Mytilus edulis: one gene and its partners. The protein of the gene in region 2 purifies or fractionates together with the protein of the main gene of each other region. This does not show direct contact. Links are inferred from orthologs where the notes say so. Each region holds a gene or a part of one and is shown on either strand. Other genes may lie near its edges.

Region 1 (7,961 bases), on a different chromosome or scaffold from region 2:
TAAACCTTGTGTCAAAATTTCATAGATTTCTATTAACTTAAACTAAAGTTATAGTGCGAAAACCAAGAAAATGCTTATTTGAGCCCTTTTTGGCCCCTAATTCCTAAAATGTTGGGACCAAAACTCCCAAAATCAATACCAACCTTCCTTTTGTGGTCATAAACCTTGTGTTAAAATTTCATAGATTTCCATTCACTTTTACTAAAGTTAGAGTGCGAAAACTAAAAGTATTCGGACGACGACGACGCCAACGTGATAGCAATATACGACGAAAAAATTTTCAAATTTTGCGGTCGTATAAAAACTTAACAGACTTCATCAAGAATGTTCAATACTATTTTTGAAAGTACTGTTTATTGTTCGTGTTGTTATTTCAACACTATAACTTTAGGCAATGCATACTCAACAAGTGAAACTGCGTGCTACTGCTCACGGATGATACCCCCGCCGCAAGTGGATAATATTAATAGTGTAAAAATATGCAAGTGTTCGGTAAACAGGAAGTTGTTGAGTGATGAATCTGAAAACGCATCACACGGTATAGCTGACTTATATTGACCCTTAAACCAAATTTCAGAAATCCTGGTAGTGTAGTTCCTGAGAAAAATGTGACGAAAAATTTTCAACTTGGCTATCAGGTGTAAAAATGATACAAGTGTTCGGTAAACAGGAAGTTGCCGAGTGATGAATCTGAAAATGCATCACACGGTATAGCTGACTTATATCAAGCCTGAAACCAAATTTCAGAAATCCTGGTAGTGTAGTTCCTGAGAAAAATGTGACAAAAAATATTCATGGGACGGACGGACTGACGGAAGGACAGACAGAGGTAAAACAGTATACCCCCCCTTTTTTTCAAAGCGGGGGTATAATTTATATATTATACCCATTATACAACAAGACAAGAAGGTAAAATATGACAAACAGATATTATGGTCTACCAGTATAGGTTGAACAGGTACTAGAGCCAACAGGAACAAGAGTTACATGAAACAGGGTGTAGGGATCTCGATTCAATATTCTATAATTATATTCCCCACTTAGAGCAAAATATGTAAGGGTTCTGCAGAACCCAGTGCCTCACCTACTTTATGAAGCTAATAAGTAATATAGGAAATTTAACTGCAGATTGTATGTAATGTTAACAGGAAGAAAGACCATATATAAGTAACATACCGAAAAACAGGAAATATATTTTTACAAAATTTCCTTCTAGATACTAGCTTTTGATAATTAACAAGCTTCTGTCCAAGTTTGGCAGAAATCCAGGATAGTTTAAGAAACTGAAATTTAAAGTGATTAAAATTCCAAAAACTTTAATCATAGAGTGAATGTAATGTTAACTGGCAGAAAACTAAGTCCATTTATAAGTAAAATACGAATAAACAGAATTTTTTTTTTACAAAATTTAATCTGATTGAATGCAACCAATTACAACTGAGACCAATGAATAGCATTACCTTGTGGAATCAATAATTCTATCTTAATCTTAACCTTTGGATATGGAAGATGATAAATGGTGAAAAGCTTGACTTTGGTTTAAAAACCATGGTTCTAAAATACCTTCAACATGGGGGTGATAAATTTCCATTGGGACTTTTTGTTTTACAACACAGCATAAATTTACCAGTAATCCCCCTTAGAGTCCTTCCCCTCAGAGATTTGGGGGGAGGGGGGACAACCTAATCAAAAAAAATCTTCCAGATTCAGAAGGGTCTGTCTTCACACTGCCTCACAACCCATAACTTAACACACTATAACTTTAGGCAATCCCTGAAAAGGTATTATATAGTATATACAGTATAATGTGATCAACGTAAAGCAGTGTGCGGTTGTGTTCAGATGTGAAAAGAACCACATGTACCAGACTCGAAGTTCCCAAAAAAGAATTTGATTTCCATATTAAAAGTATAACTATATATTGATAAAAACACAATATTTACATACAATACACAGAATCTCAATTTATTCAATGATCTACCCTAGTTGATCTGGAGTCATTTGGGGAAAAATGTGTCATCAAATTTTTCTGGGGAAAAGCGCTATGGACACGTAAAAATATCCTCATCTCATGGCCAAAGCCCAATACATGTATGAATGCATTTTGACATTGCTGTTGTTGTTATTGGTTTTGGTAGGCGGCTTACTTATATAGTAATTGCGCCTTAAATTCATATAACATAAATATTATGTACATTGTATATACTTTCAGTCCTTAATTTTATTTTTAGTATTACGTTTTGGCGAGTAATTATATGAAACTTTGACGAACATGGTTGACTGAGTTACTAAGAAATATATATATATATGTTGAGAGACAAAAAAAACACACATAACAGAAGGTACATGTAATAGGAAAATGAAAGAAAAGCAAATGACAGTCCCTAATGAAATGTACATTATTAATTGATAGGTATCATAAAATTGTTTAGAAATTTTGACGTCACAACTTCTATTGAAAAAGCATGCATAATATGAATTCTTAAGATGTACAAAAACATATGATCTGACCATGCATTAGAACTATCTTGAACTATCTATCTTCCTTTTTTTTTAGGCAGTGTCTGCACGTACCCGCATGCGGAACTTCAACAAATAGTCAAAGTGCCTTTGTAGGCTACGTGTACCTGCATCTGGTTTTAAAATCAAATGGCATCGGATCAGGAATACAACCTGAAATATAAACCACACTGCCTTTTTTTTTTTACCAGTTTAGGATTAGTATCCTCAAAGTTACAGAGTAAAAACCTCTTGTGACAAACATGACCTTTATTTAAATAATTTGGGAACTGGGATGGGGTCCATATGTTCACCAAAATGAGCAATACAATCAGTTTGTTGATTCTTATTTGTGGAGATCATTATTGACATAATTTAGCTGGCAGAATAAAAATTCCGCTAAATTAATCAGGATACTATGAAAATATTAGAACAAATTATATTTACAAATACTGTTGGACGATAAGAATTTTAGGTTTAAGATAACTATATAACACACTGTTCAACCTGTGATTTGTTTTACGAGTCGGATAGCAGTTATTGGTGAAGTTTTGTCAACTTTTTATTTCACTGATTGCGATGAACAGGAGGTCGCCATTTTCTGTCACGTGGGAAAACTATTTGCATATATTTGTTAAAAAAATAAAGAAAAGAATTTTTTAAACTTAGTGTATACACTCATTTCAAACAATAAATTATAGACCCGGAATACATTAACACTCAAAAATTATATATAAGTTGCTTTATACAAAATCAAATTGTCTTTGCACAAATATCAGTTAAATTGAACTCTAAATATTCATAGGTTCGTTTTGTTTTGAAAGATCTGATTCCGAAAGATATATTGAAAGGCTTCCTTAGCAGCTTTAGAACTTGCTGGATACAGTTCTCAACCCTTAGTGCCCTTTTAGAATTTACTTTCAGGTAAAAACATGTAGACTCCTTAACAAAAAAATGCCAACAATATCTGGTAGAGTCTAACATATAAAGCTTAAAAATGAAATATAAGTTTCCTTTAGACTATAAAGAATGATTTTTTTTTGCTATTTCACTTTCAGTATAATTTTGACTGTGTTAATGACAATGATTTCTAGACGTTTCTGTCATACAAACAGTTGGTCCACAGGTAATTCGGGCCACAATATCACTTCGGCCTGAGTTGTTTGGGCCACAATTCCAGTTCGGCTAGTGTCGTTTCAGCCTCAGTTGTTTCGGTCACACTTGGATTTTGTTAACATATATTCTATAGACGTATTTACACTTGTATGCAAATTTGTCCGCCATTACATAAAATCACACAGGTTCCCGTAAACTTTGACATCATAATTCAATACATTTGACGTCACAGCTAAAAATTGATTGTTGCTTGACGTCAAAAGGTTATTAGGAGGTGATATAAGGTCATTCGGAGGCAAAATACAGCTTAAGACCAAAAGTGTAAATACGTTTATTCTGTTCTATATGAGGGTTTGGATGGTGTTAAATGATTAAAGAATAATGCCCTTAAAAAATGAAGATTAGAGAATAATCAGCAAAAAAAATGAAGATAAGAGAAAAAAGGGGTTAATTTTTTGAAGATTAGAGAAAAAAGGGGTTAATTTTTTGAAGATAGAGAAAAAAGGGGTGAAAATTAAATGTTTACAGAATAACAGACCCCCCATCCAGACCCTCCTATATATGTTTGCGTTAATGCACCTTATCACTATTTATCTGCCATTACTAGACATCACAAAAGTTACCGTAAAATTTTGACCTTATAATAGAAAATATCTGATGCGACAATGGAAAAGTGATTGTTGTACATGTACATGTATGATGTCAAAAGTTCAAGCAGAACAGATTTTCAAACAGCATCTGCTATAAGGTGCATTGTTTTGACAGAAGTTTTTTTTTAAGCCATTTCAAAGTTTAGTTTTTGAGGTTAAGTCTCCACTCATATACTTCAGCAATTGGTCAATTATATTTGGTTTATGGATATATATAGCCGGAGTAATTGAAAGGTACATGTCAATACAAATGTAGCTGTCTGGCAGGTTTCATCTTATATGTACCATGACCTTATTTTCATGCTTTTGTGTACACCATTATTATTTGGCAGTGTCTGCCCAGCTCTACATGAGGGGACGAGTAGTCAAATTGGCATTCGTAGGCTACAAGTCCCTGCATCCAAAATTTAAATGCCATCTGATTGGGAAAAGAAATGTGAAATATACATGGAAATTAAATGTATCATAATTAGTGAATAAATTAATCAGAAGTCCTATAAATAATTATATATATATAGTAAGTGAACAGTTTTTCTCAGTTAATAAATATTCTTGATATATACAAATGTATTAATATATATATGTGAGGAAGACATTTAAAACTTATAAAAAAATTGGAACAATTTGTTCAAAACTGCCAGTCAAATAACAGCATACATTGTATGATATAAAATATTTGGTTGTTTGTATAAAAGAAACTCTGAATCAATTAAAAAGATGACATGTAAACCAAAAACTTTAAGAAGAATTAAAGTTTAGTAGGCAAAAAATTCAAAACAAATTCGACAGGAAAAGGGTATCGACATGAAATATCACCAAGCATTAATATTTGAAGGTATTGACAGTGAAATATCACCAAGAATTTATATATTTAGGTTTTGTCAGCATGTCAACAGTGAGTGATAATGTGTTGTTCCAGTCAGAGACCACAAGGAAGTATGACATACCTCTCACTCATCTAGATTATCCATACATAGAGAAATGTACAGACACCAAAGAACTTGAGAGAATACTTAGAATCCTTAGGTAATTCTTTAACTTATTTAGATTTTACTTTTTCAAAAAAATATAAAAGATCATTAAAGGGATCATTTACTATATGATTGTGACTCCTCACAAAATTTTGAAGGTACAAGAAACTGTTATGTATAAGCTAAAATATCCACATACAAAAACAAATTATTTTTTTTAGTCACAAACCAAAAATTGAATTACTATTTAGAAAATAACTATTGTATTTTAAGCTTGGCCTTCGAAAAAAACATAGATTTTACTGTCTCACATTGAGTTTACTTAGCAACACATAATGGAGCTAGGTAAAAGGATATTTGCAACAGTAAAATACTTGATATTTTTATTAAAATTTCATGTTTTAATTAGGCAGATTAAAATAATTGAAGAATTTGAAAAGAAATTAGTACAACCTCCTCTTTTACCAAAAATTACCCCACCGTGACAGCAAATAAAATTGAGAATGGACATGGGGAGTATGTCAAAGAGACAACAACCCCACCATAGAAAAAAACAACAGCAGAAGGTCACCTTTAGGTCTTCAATATAGCGAGAAATTCCCGCACCCGGGGGCGTCCTTCAGCTGGCCCCTAAACAAATATATACTAGTTCAGTGATAATGAACGCCATACTAATTTCCAAATTGTACACAAGAAACTAAAATTAAAATAATACACGACTAACAAAGGCCAGAGGCTCCTATCTTGGGACAGGCGCAAAAATGCGGCGGGGTTAAACATGTTTATGAGATCTCAACCCTCCCCCTATACCTCTAGCCAATGTAGAAAAGTAAACGCATAACAATACGTACATTTAAAATTCAGTTCAAGAGAAGTCAGAGTCTGATGTCAGAAGATGTAACCAAAGAAAATAAACAAAATGACAATAATACATAAATAACAACAGACTACTAGCAGTTAACTGACATGCCAGCTCCAGTCTTCAATTAAACCGATTGAAAGATTATGATTTCATCATATGAATATCAGGCACAATCCTTCCCGTTAGGGGTTTAGTATTATACTATCATAACATATATGAGAAGAACATAACCCGTGTCAGGCCAATAACTGGTTTTTGAATAAATGTGTTTAGTTCCGATGCAAAGACCCTATAAGTGAATCAATATTAACACCAAAATATGCAATCTTTAATGACCTGACAACAGTATCGTAACTATATCCCTTCTTAATAAGTCTATTTAAAGGTTTTATTAGTTTCTGAGGTGAATACTGACATTTTTGTGCTTTATAAAGAATATTTCCATAAAAAATTGGATGTGAAATACCTGAACTATAAGAAGTCTGCATGTTGAGCTATATTTACGAATGATGTCCTTATACCGATGATAAAATTTAGTAAATGTTTTGACTAGTTTTTAATATCGAAAACCCTGGTGTAATAATTTTTCAGTAATACATAAATCTCTCTCGTTAAAATCTATAACATTGTTACATATATGAGCGAATTGTACAAGTTGAGATATATAAACACCGTAAGATGGTGACAAGGGAACGTCACCATCTAAAAATGGATAATTAACGATAGGAAATGAAAAATCATCTCTTTTATCATAAATTTTAGTATTAAGCTTTCCGTTAGTGATATAGATATTAAGATCGAGGAAAGGGCAGTGGTCATTGTTAGTATTAGCTTTATTTAAAGTAAGTTCAACAGGATAAAATGTTAACATTGTATAATCAACATTTTCTTTCATTTCTTGCTTGAAGTACTATTTAATTTTTTAGCACAATTCACACTGGTACCCTTTCTGACAATTTGAAATTGATAATAAAGAATAGCAGATTATACATGACCAAATTCAGTATTCAGTATGCAAATAAGTAAACATTTGTATACCGGTTCAAGATTTTGATCAAACTACATTTTCCTGTTCCATATCTCTATATATGATAGATTCACCAAATTTTCTTTTTCATGTGTCTTCAACAGATCAGGTGATGAAGGATTTTATCCAGATTTAGAGACATTTTGTGAAGAAAGGATTGAGAAATTAAATCCCAAAAGGTATGTTTATATCATTATAAAATAACACTCATTTTAATTTTTTTATCTACTGTAATTTTGATATTGAAAATAGTAAGCTTCAGAATGATTATTGATATCACCTACATATTTTTGCATTCACTAAGTAATTGAAACAATTATGTTCTTCAACATGTTTAACAGTATGTAGTACGTATAAATATGTAGTATTTTACAAATTTATCAGAATGAAAAAAATTCTGGCTAATAACTCATTTTGATTTAAATCTGATATTGTTTTACTTCTTTTCAGTGAGATGATAAATATTTCTTATAATATGGATTTTATTTTCTACGATGTCAACAACCTAAGCATACAGCATCAATTTCAGAAGCTAATGACTTTCAGAATAAACCTTAACTTTAAATACAGTTTTAAAGTTGTACAAATGTGGGTTAATTTATATCAAAACAGTAACAGTAGCTATGTTAAAGTGTTAGAAACTGATTTTTTACACTTTGCAATCATATCAAATATGAATATTTTGTTCTCTATCTTTAGTCGTGTATTGAGGAAAGAAGTGCCACTTGGCAGACCTGGAGATCTTGCTAAAGATGAATGGAAGAAAATAGATACAGATTTGAAGGTGAATTGTCTGGATGCTGTCTCATTTACATATACACCACATCTCTTTTTAT
Region 2 (6,940 bases):
ATGTAATTTTTGGTTGTGTTTATGTACCACCTGAAAATTCTAAGTATTCTACTATAGAAGCTTTTGAAGAATTGGAAAATGAATTGAATATCCTTACAAACACTGAAAATTGTTATATTGCCCTAGTTGGCGATTTTAACTCAAAAACTGGGTCTTTACCCGATTATATTATACCTGATGAGTCAATTGTTAGTATGTTTGATTTAGATTGTGATGCTGATATATTAGATTATTTGTATGATTATGAGAATCTGACTCGAAACAAAATCACCTTACAAAGAGTGTCTCAGTGTACATGTAGACCTAATAAGTATGGTCATAGACTGTTAGAGTTGTGCAGAAAAAATAATTTCAGGGGTTAAGAAATTTTGTTATAGCTCACTAGCCCAGGGCTAATTGGTTGCAATATTTTACTAGCCCTGTTGGAAGAACTACTAGCCCAACAAAACTGACCTGCTAGCCCTAGTATGCCTTACAAATTCAGAGTTTGCTGCAATAAAGATGAATTCTATAAACTTAACAATTTTTATCCATTCACGGCATTGTACAGTAGATTTTTGCAAATTGGATATTTAAAACTTATATCAGCAAAAAATATTCCATTAGCATATATATATTCAATTAATCGATAATTGAATATTCACTGAAAATTCTGATATAATGAGTTGACCAAATCCGGGGATGATACAAGTCTTGATCACTGCTATACGTGGGTATGTAAAAGGATTGGAGGGGTTTTATCAGATACAATAGCATCATCACGTTTGTGTAAAAGAATTAGCAGCAAATGTTTCAAATTTATTTCTGACAAAAGTCAGGTTTCTGCTGTCAAAAGGGATTCACATTTATATTGCATAAATTAATCAGAAGGAGGTAAAATCAGGTTGCATAAGCAATGTACAATACCACCTCCTGTACTGACACATCGATATTGAAAGTACAAGATCCACCCAGAGTTATTTGTTCTATTTTAAAACTTGTACAACATTAGTTCAATTTCTGGGAATCCCGGATGACGTAGTGGAATCTGATTGGATAAGATAGAAAAGCGATGAGGGGATTTTCCCCTTTCAATTTTAGAAACGCCAAGAATTTTTTGTTACTAGTCCGTCTGGCATTTTTGGTTACCAGTTTTGATTGCCCGAGGTCTAAATGTTGTAGTCCCGGGCGTCGGTCTAGTGGATTTCTTAACCCCTGAATTTATATATTGCAAATTCAAGAGTTGGATCAGATAAAGATATTGGGGAGAAAACATGTAACGATTCAAGTGTTGTTGATTATTTAATTATTTCATCAATGCTCTTCCCTTTGATTGTTTATTTTGAAATTGCTGACTTTATACCGTTATATTCTGATTGTCATTCTTTTATAAATTTTAGACTTCAGGCCACATTTAGTAAATCAGATTCAATTGTTATCAACAATAGAAATGATAAAACTTTTGTCAGGTGGAAGAGTGAACAGAAATCTGAATACGTTGATCGAATTCACAATGATTCCGAAGGTATTTTGACCACTGTTATGAATAAACTGGACAAATTGTCCGTAAATAATGATGCAACTCAAAATGATATAAACAATATAGTTTTAGATATCAGCAAAAATTTTAAAGATGCGGCAGCAGAAACGTTTGGGAAAGTAAATAAACATAAACATTTTTACAAACATGAAAATTCAAAACCTTGGTTTAATAGAAAATGCTCGATGAGTAGAAAAAAATTTCATAAAGCTCGAAAGAGATATAGTTTTTTGAAAAATGCTGAAAACAGAAGTAAAATGAGACAAGCTAGTAAAGAACATAAAATAACATTAAATAAATCTTTTGCAAACTATCAACAGAGAGCTCAGTGCCGCTGATGAGTTGCGTAACATTTCTAAAAAGGATACAAAAGCTCTATGGAAAATCCTTAATAATCTAAATGATAGTAAAAAAAAAGATAACAATGACGATATATCTCTAAAAGCATTGTATGATCATTTTAAAATACTAAATGAAACTGTTGAGACAGAAAATGATTTCGAACAAGATTTGGAATTTGATACTCTACCAGACGATGTTGAGTTATTTTTAAACAGTCCAGTAACAGAAGATGAAATTAAAAAAGTTGTTTCAAACTTAAAAAATGGCAAAGCTTCAGGTAGTGATGAAATTTTAAATGAGTATATAAAGAATACAATTGACGATTTAATGCCAATTTATGTTAAGCTATTCAATTTGATTTTAGATACTGGAATTGTTCCTGACAGTTGGTCTAATGGAATCATGATTACTATATTTAAAAATAAAGGATCAAGATCTGATCCCGAAATGTACAGAGGAATCACTTTGAATTCATGCTTTAGTAAAACTTTTTCTGCCATGTTGAATTACAGGTTAAATAATTATGCAGATCACGTAGACCTGATTTCAAAGGCACAAGCAGGTTTTCGTAGAGGATTCTCTACTGTTGACAATATATTTGTATTGTATTCTTTAATTACTATATATTTTTCATTTGGTAAGAAGCTATTTTGCACTTTTATAGACTTTAAGAGCGCTTTTGACACTGTATGGAGGTCAGGATTGTGGCAAAAAATGCAAAAATCAAACATTAAAGGTAAACTATTTAATGTGATCTATAATATGTATCAAAATATAAAAACATGTGTCAAGAAAGGAAATGAATTTTCCGAATTTTTTATATCTCATACAGGAGTAAAACAAGGTGAAAATCTATCACCTTTTTTATTTTCTTTGTTTCTAAATGATTTAGAAAATTATTTTGTGGAAAATAATATAGAAAGTATAAATAATATTTCAAAGCTGTGCTTGGAATCATTAGAAATGTATGTTAAATGGTTTATTATACTGTACGCAGATGATACTGCGCTATTGTCTGAAAGTGCAGAAGGATTACAAAAAACCCTTGTATGTTTTGAAGAATATTGTAAAAAATGGAAGCTTAAGATTAACACAAGCAAAACTAAAGTAGTGATTTTTAGTAAAAGGAAAGTAAAAAGAAATCAGAATTTTATGATATATGGTGAAAAAATTGAAATAGTTGATTCCTACTGCTACCTTGGTGTACTTTTCAATTACAACGGTAGCTTTTGTACAGCACGAAAAAAACTTCTTGTTCAAGCACAGAAGTCTTTGTATGCTCTTTACCGAAAAATTAAAAATATATGTATTCCCGTCGATTTGCAGCTAAAACTTTTTGACTCATTGGTTAGTCCTGTTTTATTATATGCTTCAGAGGTATGAGGATTTGAAAATAAAGAAAGCATTGAGAAAATACACCTTCAATTTTGCAAAAACATTTTGAAATTAAGAAGCAGTACACCAAATTATATGGTGTATGGGGAACTCGGAAGATTCCCTTTGGAAACCATTATTAAACGTAAAATGGTGTTGTTTTGGAATAACTTGTTATCGGAAAATAACAATTTATCTTCCATTATGTATAAATTAATGCTCAAATTACATTTTCAAAACCCCATTAACATTTTGTCATGAAGAACTTTACAAAAACTTGGCAATATTTTTAAAAATTCTTACACGATACTTGTGATTTATGTTGGTTTTTAGTTGAAAGTTATGGTAGTTTGTAAATTGACATTTGCTATATTTTCTCATGTATGTAGCATTATTATGTTTAGTGTGAATGTATTGAGTATAAACATGTGTATACGTGTATATATGATGTCTTCTTGTACACCTATGTGTCTGAGGTTTATTAATAAAGTATTGTCTATTGTCTATTGACAAACATGTGCACATCTATAATACACAATAATTATATAAAACAATACATCTTAAGTAAACAATTATCTAATATTTAATACCAAACAAGCATTTGGGTTTACGATTGCATTTCTTTTTTTAAAGAAAGCAACTTGTTTAAAGATTGGGCTGCAATCTATTAGAAAAAAAAGAAAAGTTGTGTCCCTTGTCACATAGAGGTCGCTAAGCGGAAACTGCCATTTCTCTGCGAAAATAAAATTGTTTTGGCATGTGAAGCCGACACACAAAAAACAGAGAAAGAAGAAATATAACAGAACTGACAGATAAATTCAATCATCTTTGCTCTCTGTTGAAACAAGAAAAATGGCGAGTGTATCGTATCATATCGCTAATCTTTTGGAAAAGGTAGACGTCATTTGTCATGATCTAAATATTTGCCGGCACCGTACTTATTTTACGATAGAAAACAAAAGGTTCTATCTTTGAATTGGATTATTTCTGTTGTAACGAAAAAAAGAAATTTGTAAACGCCCTTTTTCCTTGCAAAGATGGGCGGGACGGGACCTCTTGAGAATGGCAATGTCTGCTATAGTGGGATTTAATACACCTTATCGCTAGCATTTGTCCGCAATTACTGGAATTCATACAGGTTACCGTTAAATTTTAACGTCATAAAGCAAAATATCTGACACCGCAATGAAAAAGTGATTGTTGTGTGGGTCAAAAATTCAAGCGGTCGGTCCAACGGCTGTTTTGCCAGACAAGCTTGGGCCGTGGGATGTCAGAGCTCGTCCCATATAAAAAAGTGGATATTTGCCCACCCAAAATAGATGCGCTGCTTCATCGCTTCTCATGTCGACTGACGGCCTTGGAATTATGTAAATCGGGCATCAATCTGTTCATTTTTCATTTATCTCTTCATTTATGTAAGTTTCACCTACCTGCAAACCTTTATTTTTCCATATTTTAACAGTTTTCACAGTGACCCATCGATTTCGACATAATATTTGAGACCTTTGACAAGTCACAACAAGGATGATTATATAAATCACGGTAAAATTTTAACCAATTTGACGCTAAGAGTAGCTAAAAAGGACTGTTTGAAGCCTGCACTGCAGTAGAGGGCATTGATATCAGATACCCTCTTTTATCCTTGATTATTTATTGGACCCTACAAATATTTAAAAAAAAAAATTTAGATACATATTGTGTTACAATGTTGAAGATTCAGGTAAAAAGAAGATCACATAATTCAGTTAATAATAAAAAACATTGATTTTCATTGACAATAAATTAGAGCCTATAAAAGGGAGATAATTCTTTTCAATAATCCTGAACAAAACTATCCATGTGCATGTTTTACTGATTCAAGGTATAAAAAAGTCCTGTAAATCCTTTTCATCATGTTCATTGTTTTATTTAAAAGTCAGAGGTACTGTGTGTACAAGTTATTTTTATTTATTTTGAAGAAGTAAATGATAATTTTCTTATGTTGGTTAATTTATTATATATCCAAATTTTCTTATAAGGTTTAAGTGATCTCCCCTTAATAATCTCAAAAAAATAATACTTGTACTTGTAATTTTTTTCAGCAATTCCTAAAATTCTCTTGTATAGGAATGAGAAAACAAGCCTTAATTAATTTTCTCTGGTTACATGTAGCGCTTGATTTTTTATTAGAACTCAATGTTTCATCTCATTAGTTCAACTAAGAAACTAAACGCTGAAAGATGTTGAATAATTGTGCAAGGCCTTCAAAGACTACCCCCTGGACACTTTTAAATCAGCAGTGTTTTCAAGATTACAGACAAATGAGATTTTTTTGGTCTATGAACACGTGATCATGATGATGAATACCTTTGAATGAAGTATAAGGCCAAAATAAATAAATAGTGTGTTTCCTATTTCACCCCGAAAAAAATTAGGTAGGGTAGGTAGGGAAAACATTTTATTTTATGAAAACTTTTTATTTTTTTCTATCGATGACAGCAGAAAAAGATTCAAAATGAAATCATTTGATGTACCTGCATGCTTCTTTGATATTTATTAGTACTTAATTAAATCTACAGGTTTTTTTAATTTTCTGTATAAAGTATAAGAAATATAAAAATAAACTTACGAATTTCATGGGCCGTAATAGGAATATGTTCTTGCCAATTAATTATCTTAAAGAAAAAATGGCAGTGAAAAATCTGGCATGGTATTATTGTTTGGCCTCGTTGAACCTAACAATGTAAATGACACACAGGGTATACATTGTACATGTGGGAACAGACTCCTACCCCCTTTTTTTAGTAGTAGAATCACTGTAAATTGATGCTAAGCAGCGGCTTATGATTTTTTTGGGGTAATACTCTTCCACCCTCTTTATTTAATAAATACATGTAGATGTGTTTTGATGTTTGACAGAATTTAATCTTGAGGAGTGGGGTTCTGACAATATTAAAATTTCAGGTTTTGAGAAAAGTGAGAATCTTTGTCTTCATATTTAATACATGGAAAAAAATTGTAGATATTAATAGGGCATGATTTTTTTTCCTTCTCTGGTATAAATTGTTGTGGGCCAGCCAGAGAAAATTAAAAAAAAATAAAAGTAGACATGGTGCAGGGGCAGATTCATTTATAAATGAACATGAATCATACACCATGTCTGCCTACTGGGGAAAGCTTTCTATTTCTCGGTATACGCATTGTCAGTCAGGGGACTTACTGAAATAGGTGATTTTTAAATTACTTATTTGAGTAGCAAAATCATGGTTTTGTCACAAATTGGAATTTTGTATTTTTTTCCAAATTTTAAACACATAGGTTTAAATAATATCTTTTGATTAGTAAAATTGAAAAAAAATAAACTTTTTGCTTCTTTTAAGTAGAAAGGCTTCTGCCTTTGATGCTATCATTTAGCTGAAAATTCTATTTTAGTTGAAAAAATGCTATAATAATGGCTTTACATAATGAACTGATACTTTCTTAAAAGATTTTTCCCAGCAGTGGGAGTATTTTTCCTGTGAAGTTCAAGGTTTCATCTTTCAGATTATGTAATAAAATTCTACTGTTCGCGATAAAAATCTCACTGTTCAGGGGTGTTGAAATTAGTAGGGATTATTTAAAGAATGATACTTAAAGAAGTGATTTTTGGGAAGGAAATTGAGGTCTGATACTTAAACAAGTGATTTTTATGTCATTATCCTAGATTCAGTACAAGGTCATCACCTG
Region 3 (7,305 bases), on a different chromosome or scaffold from region 2:
AGAACTTTAATTACCTGCCATATTTTCACAACAACACTGACCGATTGAAAAAAAATTTGATGATTATACAAAATTTATGCGAAAAAAATGATAAAATCGTGACAAACTTCGGCTTCAAAACAAGAACTTTAATTACCTGCCATATTTTCACAACAACATTGACTGATTGAAAAAAAATTTGATGATTGTATGAAATTTATGCAAAAAAAATGATAAAATCGTGCACAGAAGACTAAGTTTATGATGTTTGTATGGATTGGTTCAAGAATTGGAATAACATTATTTTTCACCAGTCACTCATTTATTATGACTTTAAATACATCATAAATATCAAAATATAAAAATGTCAATTAGTCACGGTTAAAATTAATATTAATTAATAGTATTAGTAACTTCTAAAAAAATAAATGAAGAATGTGTTCAAAGGGACACAGATGATGCCCCCGCTAGCATATAACGTTATAAAGGGACATAACTCAAGAACTGTAAAGTGAAGCTGCCAAAAATTGAACTTAAACTGGGTTTAGAGGTAATAAGCATTATATATACAGATTTCATTAAATTAAGTGGAGACAAACTTAAGTTGAGAGAACAGAAACTAAAAATTCTTCAATTTTTCCATTTTTAAAGGGGCATAACCCTAAAATGGTATAATCAAAGTGCTTGTAATCACTGAATGGTAAAGATTGCTTCAATTTATCAGTTGGTAGTTAAGTGAATATTGCATTGTATATTGTATTGATTTAAGTTGATTCAACCTCTATTCTGGACAAAGAAAGATAACTCCAATTTTCAAAGAAGATTTCATAAAGCATTGGTTTTAGCGCATAGGTGATTTAACAACCATTCTGGACAAAGAACGATAACTCCAATTTATTGTCTTGAAACTACAAAAATGCTTGTTTTTGGTCCCTTGTTGGCCCTTTATTCCTAAACTGCCCCATAACTCACAAAATATATATATCCTAACCTTCACTTATGATATAAATATGTCATAAATATTGTGGTACAATTTCAAAACAATTGAAATACTTATACACAACTTTTTGTACTGACACTAGATAAATGCTTGTTTTAGGCCCCTAATTCCTAAACGTTAGGGACCATAACCCCAAAAATCAATCCCAAGCTTCCTTTTGTGGTTATAAACATTGTGTTAAAATAAGTTATTTTCCGGAAACCATCCCTCTTCGGACAACGCTGACGACGATGACAACGTGATACCAATATACAACCACAAAAATGTTTGCTGTCGTATAAAAATCTATAGGATAATACTTTGCAATTGAAGATTTTTTCACAGAACTTTTCAAAAATTTGAAATTTAAAAAATTCTGAAAAACAAAAATATGAACCCCTTTGAGAAACTGGAACCCCCAAAACTTTTTGAACCCCCTCCTTCTTGGAGCAATTACCCCCAAACTCAATCCCAGCCTTCCCTATGTGGTATGGAACTTTGTAGTAAAAATTTAGAGAGTTCCATACACTTAAATACAAGTTATTGTCTGGAAACTAGAAAAGTGTTTGTTTTTGGCCCTTAACCCAGAAATCAATCCCAACCTTCCTTTTGTGGTATTGAAGCTTGTTGTACAATTTCATGGACATACACTGTAGCATTATACAAAAAATATGTGCAGTCGTATAAGAAAAACGACTAATTTGGGGAACTATCTGACTTGTAAGTGGGACTTCATCATGTTCATAGTTTGGTACAGACATGACAGGGGACTATCATGACTATCCGACACATTTATGTTTGGTACAGGACAGGGGTCCATCTGACTAGACTAGTGAGATATCAATGTTTGGTACAGCCAGGACAGGGGACTATCGGACTAATTATAAGACTTCAAAGTTTGATACAGATCTAGACATGAACAGGGAACTATCTGACTAGTGAAACATCAATGTTTGGTACAGACATGACAGGGGACTATTCAAATAGTGGGACTGCAAAGTTTGATACAGGCATGACAGGGGACCATCTGACTCTTGGGACTTCATAGTTTGGTCAAATATGACAGGGGATTATCTGTCTAGTGCATGTAGTGGGACATCCATGTTTGGTACAGACATGACAGGGATCTATCTGACTAGTGGGACTCCAAAGGTTGAGACAGGCTTCACATTGTATTCAGTGGGGGACTCATTGGAGGGGGAGGGGATCTGATCCTGGATCCTGCTTACAGTTTTGTCAGAATTCTAACCTGCTTTTCGTTGCCATAATAGTGCATATAATTTTCTGTGTACCACCCGGCTTTGTTTCCAGATTTCACGCTTATTTATTAGACTTTCACGAATCATTCTTAAAAAATCAGCCAATCCTGTGTCACACTAAGAACCCTACGAGACCCACTTCAGTAAATTACATGTGAAACAAAATAGGTGATCTATTTTTCTAACATGTCTCATTTAGAATGTTTAGGAATAAATTTCTCTGTTTTCTAAGTTTATTTATTTATCCCTCCCCTTTTTTTTTTATTAAGATACAGGTCCAATAAAAGACCAACATCATCACCAATGAGTAGTCCAAATAATTATGACGTCTTGAAAGGCTATTATAATTTTTTTTTTTGACGCCTTACATCGATGTAAGGCGTCAAAGAAAAAAATTATAATAGCCTTTCAAGACGTCATAATTATTTGGACTACACCAATGAGATGTTCTTTGTCTTAAATTCTTAATTTCTTTGTCTATGTCTATGGGTACGTACCCAACCTTTATTTCGATCCGTTTTCTTAAATAACACAGAGGTTGGAAGGATTAAAGAAGTTTTAATGTCATTAATTATTTATATAGTTAGAAAGCGTGATTATGACAACTTAATAGAAACTGTGAGATCGATAACATGCAAAGCGAATAGGTCGATAAAACAAAAACAAGGTAATGCATTTGTGCTTCAGAATTGTATAATTTGGTGAATCACCGAAATTTCTGGCAGTTTGTCGTCTTGAAAGACATCACTTGGGTATTTTCTTTATCCCTGCATACAACAAATATATATATCCGTGTTCCTTTTGCCAGAATCTGTCGATTTCATGCTGATTGTCAGAGAGAAAGAATAACAAATGGTGGACTTCCTGTCGATGTGCGATGTACGTCATTAGAATATGTGCATATCTCCTTAGTTTTTACCGCGGGGAAATTTAATTTTTGTGACAGATAGATATTACAAATTAGAATCAAGTAGGCTAGTTCAAATCGGAATTGCTATCTACTATAACTTAATAAAACTAATTTAAAAGTTCAGATGAAATTGAAAAAGTATTAATGAACCAGAGACATTACGTTTTCAACAGTCGCCTTTTGTTTTGCATAAAAATACTCACGGTTTGTATGTATACATGTAAAACACGGGGGTAACTTCGATATTTTTTTGGTAGGGGTGTACCATTTTTGCCTCAAAAAACCTACCCATTTTAATATAACATTCACTGAAATTCAGTACCTATAGTTATATAAATATTTAAGAAAGAATGACCTATACTTATATACAATATTCAAAATATGACCCATGCTTATATATAAGCACTAACTCATCATCACTCATAATTCATAAATATACCAGCTACCCTTAAGTTTTTATATATGAATTGACATCGTTAGGTGCACATATATGTTATCGTTATATATATGATATGTAGATGACACTGATACCCCAAATGATCCTAAATCAATATACAGTTATCAAACGTAAATGCATTTTAATATAGGATGTCATTAAGAAGGTGGGTCATTTTTATATAAAATCTTGCAAAATTATATGACCCATATTTTTGGCACATCCCCGTATACCCAATAATAGGAAGTTACCCCCCCCCCCCCCCCCCCCCGTGATGTAAAATCAGTTACTTAGTACAATATTAATCTCCACTGATGCCCTTTGAACAATTCAAAATATGCAATAATATAATATACATTTACATACAGTATTTTTATGCAAAACAAAAGGCGAAAAACATACGGAATAGGTTCATGAACATATGTTGTTAATGTCAGATGTACAAGATACCTTTATGGACTTTTATATATTAGGTAAATTTCATTTGATAATTACATTTTTAGTTTAGAAACAAGAAATTACAAAAACTTTTTTTTTTTAACTGTTCTATCGTTTCTATCTTTTTTATTTAAACAGGAATACTATTCCAAACAGAGGCGGATTTAGAGGGGGGGCCCAGGGGGCCTGGGCCCTCCCTTTTTGGGAAAAAAATTTGGTTGCTTATATAGGGCATCACTGAAGTGTGACTGGAGCGGGCCCCCTCTTAGGTCAGTCAGTGGGCCCCCACTTATGAAAATTTCTGGATCCGCCACTGCCAAAGAACGTTAACTGTACCGGAATATTGAAATGTTTCTTCATATAAAATTTGTTCTCGGACGTGGTATGAAAAGACATTTATTGTCCGATGAACCCAAAGAATATCTTGCCTTAACATTTTGGTTATTTTCGTTGTTTGTGATCGGCGCATTTTCGCTATCGTGATCCGTTTTTCAACAGATATTTTTTTTTATATGAGACAATATCTGAAAAAGTCTATAATTTCCATGTCCCGCCTTTCACCAGCAATTATTTTTTTATTCAGGCATCTTTTTGGAAAATTTTAAGTTTCAGTACTGATTAACTCGAGTAAATAATGCACCAACTGCAACCAATTAAACATTCTTTTTAATATTTCATCTAATAAAATATTATAATATAAATGGTCAACCCCCCTCCCCCCAAAAAAAATCATGTTGTCCCCTGTTATTTTCTGAAAATTGAATCATTCAAAGAATATCTTAATTTAAAAGTAAGCAGCTTTCCAATTTTCACAAATCTGATAGATTATATAATATACTTCTCCATTACTGGTCTTATTTTGTTATAACTAAAGCATGTAAGAAAATTTTGCATTTTTAAGGGTCTTTTGAATGTTGTCCCCAGGGGTACTTTCCCTCCTGTTACCGCTGGGGGTTTTCCACCTGTGGACACGTTTGAAAGACCAAAAATTTATTTCTTGTAATGTAATGTGAAGAGCATCATTTCCTGAATGTATGAATCCATTTGTTTAGGTGAATAGCAGCCAGTTTAAAAAAACTGAACTCCCCAAAGATAAGAATTGGAGAAAAATAATTTTGTTGTTCTCTCCTGTTACAGCCTTTTTGTGTACCTTCTGAGAATATTTCATTGTCAGCACTATAACAGTACATGTGTTTTATACTAGTATCTTATCAAATTGATATGTAGATGAAAGTAAACTTCTACACAATTCGAGTAAATGAACAAAAAGGACTGCGTAATTCCTTTCTGTTACATTCTGTCATGTTACCTAATAAAAAGAAACAGCATAACCATAATCAGTAACAGGAAGGATGTTCAAGACAATATCACTGATGAATCAAAATATTAATCTACTATATGTCAACCATTTCATTTAATATAAGTTATCATCACCATATTAAATAAATTTCATAGTAATATACAATATATTGAATGAAAAAAAATAGTTTTTTTGCTTTTGATAACAGCAGAGAACATTGTGCAATTCTATAGTATAGTAGATAGTAACAGAAAGGAATTTATTTTAGAATTTTTCATTACCTAGGCAGATTTTTCATCTGTCAAATACAGTTTCAAAGGATAAATGCTATTGTTTGCTGTTATCTTCCAATGGTGTCCAATCTGAAATAATGTATTTTTCTTTTTTGAGAAAAAAATCCTTTCTGTCCTGTTACCGTTGTCCTGTTACTCAAAATTCTTTCATGTTACCGACATCTCTGACTATATTTTAGTATATTTCTTAATCTTTTGTATTACAAATGTTAAAATCAATAATTGGCATTTACTAAACTATTACAGGATATACTAGTAAACCACAAATAGTGTCTTAAAATTATTCCTTATTCTCATTAGAAACTTTTTAAAATTGATTCATTTTGGAAACAGGAAAGAACTGGAATTATTTTGTACCATTTTTGAAATTGCAATTGTTACCACATTTAACAATTGTTTGAATTACAGACAACAGTTCCTAGATCCCCAATGTGTGCTCTTCGGTTTATGCTATTATAATACCGGGTCTAAAGACTTTTTTTTTGATTTTTTCTTATTGCCAAAAATTAGACTTTTTCAGATATTATCTCGTATATATTTTCGTGATCCGTGATCATGGAAATTTAGTTTCTGTGAATCGTGATTGACAAAAACATCAACTCGTGAATCGTGATATGAGACCCCCCCCCCCCCAAATCAGGCCCCTCGTTTATGTCTCTGATATAATATAGATCATAAAATAATAGTATTGTATCACAGTATGTTAAAACTAATTCAAATCCAATAGTTCTAAATTAGCACAATCATTGCTTTTACAAGTCTGATCTCCACTCCAGTTTGCAACTTGCGCGCACATCTTCTCTAGGTCAAAAAATGAAACGTTTTTACAAAATGTCTTTAAGTACATGTTTAACTGTATATAAAAATTGCCGTTTTTGAAGAGCAAATAAAATAAATATGACAGTGCATGGCTGTTTTGCCATCCCTGATTAAAATATCCTAAATTAATTCAAGTCGGTAAAATAGTCTATAACTCTAGAAATGGCTATTTTACTAGCACCAGCAATAGAGTGCATTTCTTGCAGAGTGCTGGATAAATAGAATGTTATTTTTCTGTATCTAGATATAAGAGGAAGCTAAGTCACGGGTAGTAAGGTCGTCATATCGAGGAGCGTTTAGTACAGTTATTTTGTCATAGTTTGGATAAGTTTGACATGATTAATTTATGTTACTTCCCTAAACTATTGCCTCAGTTCTATTCACACGAGCAGATAAAAAGCAAATAAAATGCTTGAATCTGTATTGGAGGTCAAACGATCTATATTGGAATTGTTGTTTCACGAAATTAACGCAGAATAAGCAAGATATCGGAATTGCTATGGTTTGGTTAAGCGATTGACATGGTTCGGTTAAGAATCTAGAAATTCGTCATGGTTTTGGTCAAGTTTGTCATGGTTTAGATCGAAATAAATATATATATGTGTTTCACTCTAATACTAAAAATTGATTGATAGCGCCTGTTATTGAACGAAGTAACACTATATATTAACTGCCTGAGAAGAAAAAAAGCCTGTTTAACCAAATTTAGGGGGTGTAATCGACAAAGCGTAAATTAAACATGTCATGTGACTTTTCGTAAGTTTTTTTTGCAAAAGAATTTAAAAGTCACTGCTATTTTAAACTAGCTTTCGATATAAGTATACACAACAATACAAAGCGTTGCTTCTGTTTCACATAGAGTCTTTTCTCCGTATGTCCATGCTTGGCTCTG

What was found.
Region 1: the proteins of cullin-associated NEDD8-dissociated protein 1-like (region 2) and cullin-2-like purify together in Homo sapiens (affinity purification with western blotting; 7 studies listed by BioGRID and IntAct, with this or other methods). This does not show direct contact. The link is inferred for Mytilus edulis from reciprocal best matches to the Homo sapiens genes CAND1 and CUL2.
Region 3: the proteins of cullin-associated NEDD8-dissociated protein 1-like (region 2) and DCN1-like protein 3 purify together in Homo sapiens (affinity purification with western blotting; 3 studies listed by BioGRID, with this or other methods). This does not show direct contact. The link is inferred for Mytilus edulis from reciprocal best matches to the Homo sapiens genes CAND1 and DCUN1D3.

The regions. Positions count from the first base shown.
Region 1 is NC_092345.1:87,330,138-87,338,098, forward strand, and holds the start of cullin-2-like, read right to left. Parts: upstream 3,107-7,961; 5' UTR 2,997-3,106; intron 1-2,996. Other genes in the region: sperm-associated antigen 1-like, read left to right, coding at 5,152-5,291, 7,230-7,304, 7,825-7,909.
Region 2 is NC_092355.1:5,869,140-5,876,079, forward strand, and holds the start of cullin-associated NEDD8-dissociated protein 1-like, read left to right. Parts: upstream 1-3,924; 5' UTR 3,925-4,087; coding exon 4,088-4,129; intron 4,130-6,940. UniProt on the Homo sapiens protein: Key assembly factor of SCF (SKP1-CUL1-F-box protein) E3 ubiquitin ligase complexes that promotes the exchange of the substrate-recognition F-box subunit in SCF complexes, thereby playing a key role in the cellular repertoire of SCF complexes.
Region 3 is NC_092352.1:76,469,377-76,476,681, reverse strand, and holds the start of DCN1-like protein 3, read right to left. Parts: upstream 3,104-7,305; 5' UTR 2,928-3,103; intron 1-2,927. UniProt on the Homo sapiens protein: Contributes to the neddylation of all cullins by transferring NEDD8 from N-terminally acetylated NEDD8-conjugating E2s enzyme to different cullin C-terminal domain-RBX complexes and may play a role in the cell cycle progression by regulating the SCF ubiquitin E3 ligase complex, after UV damage.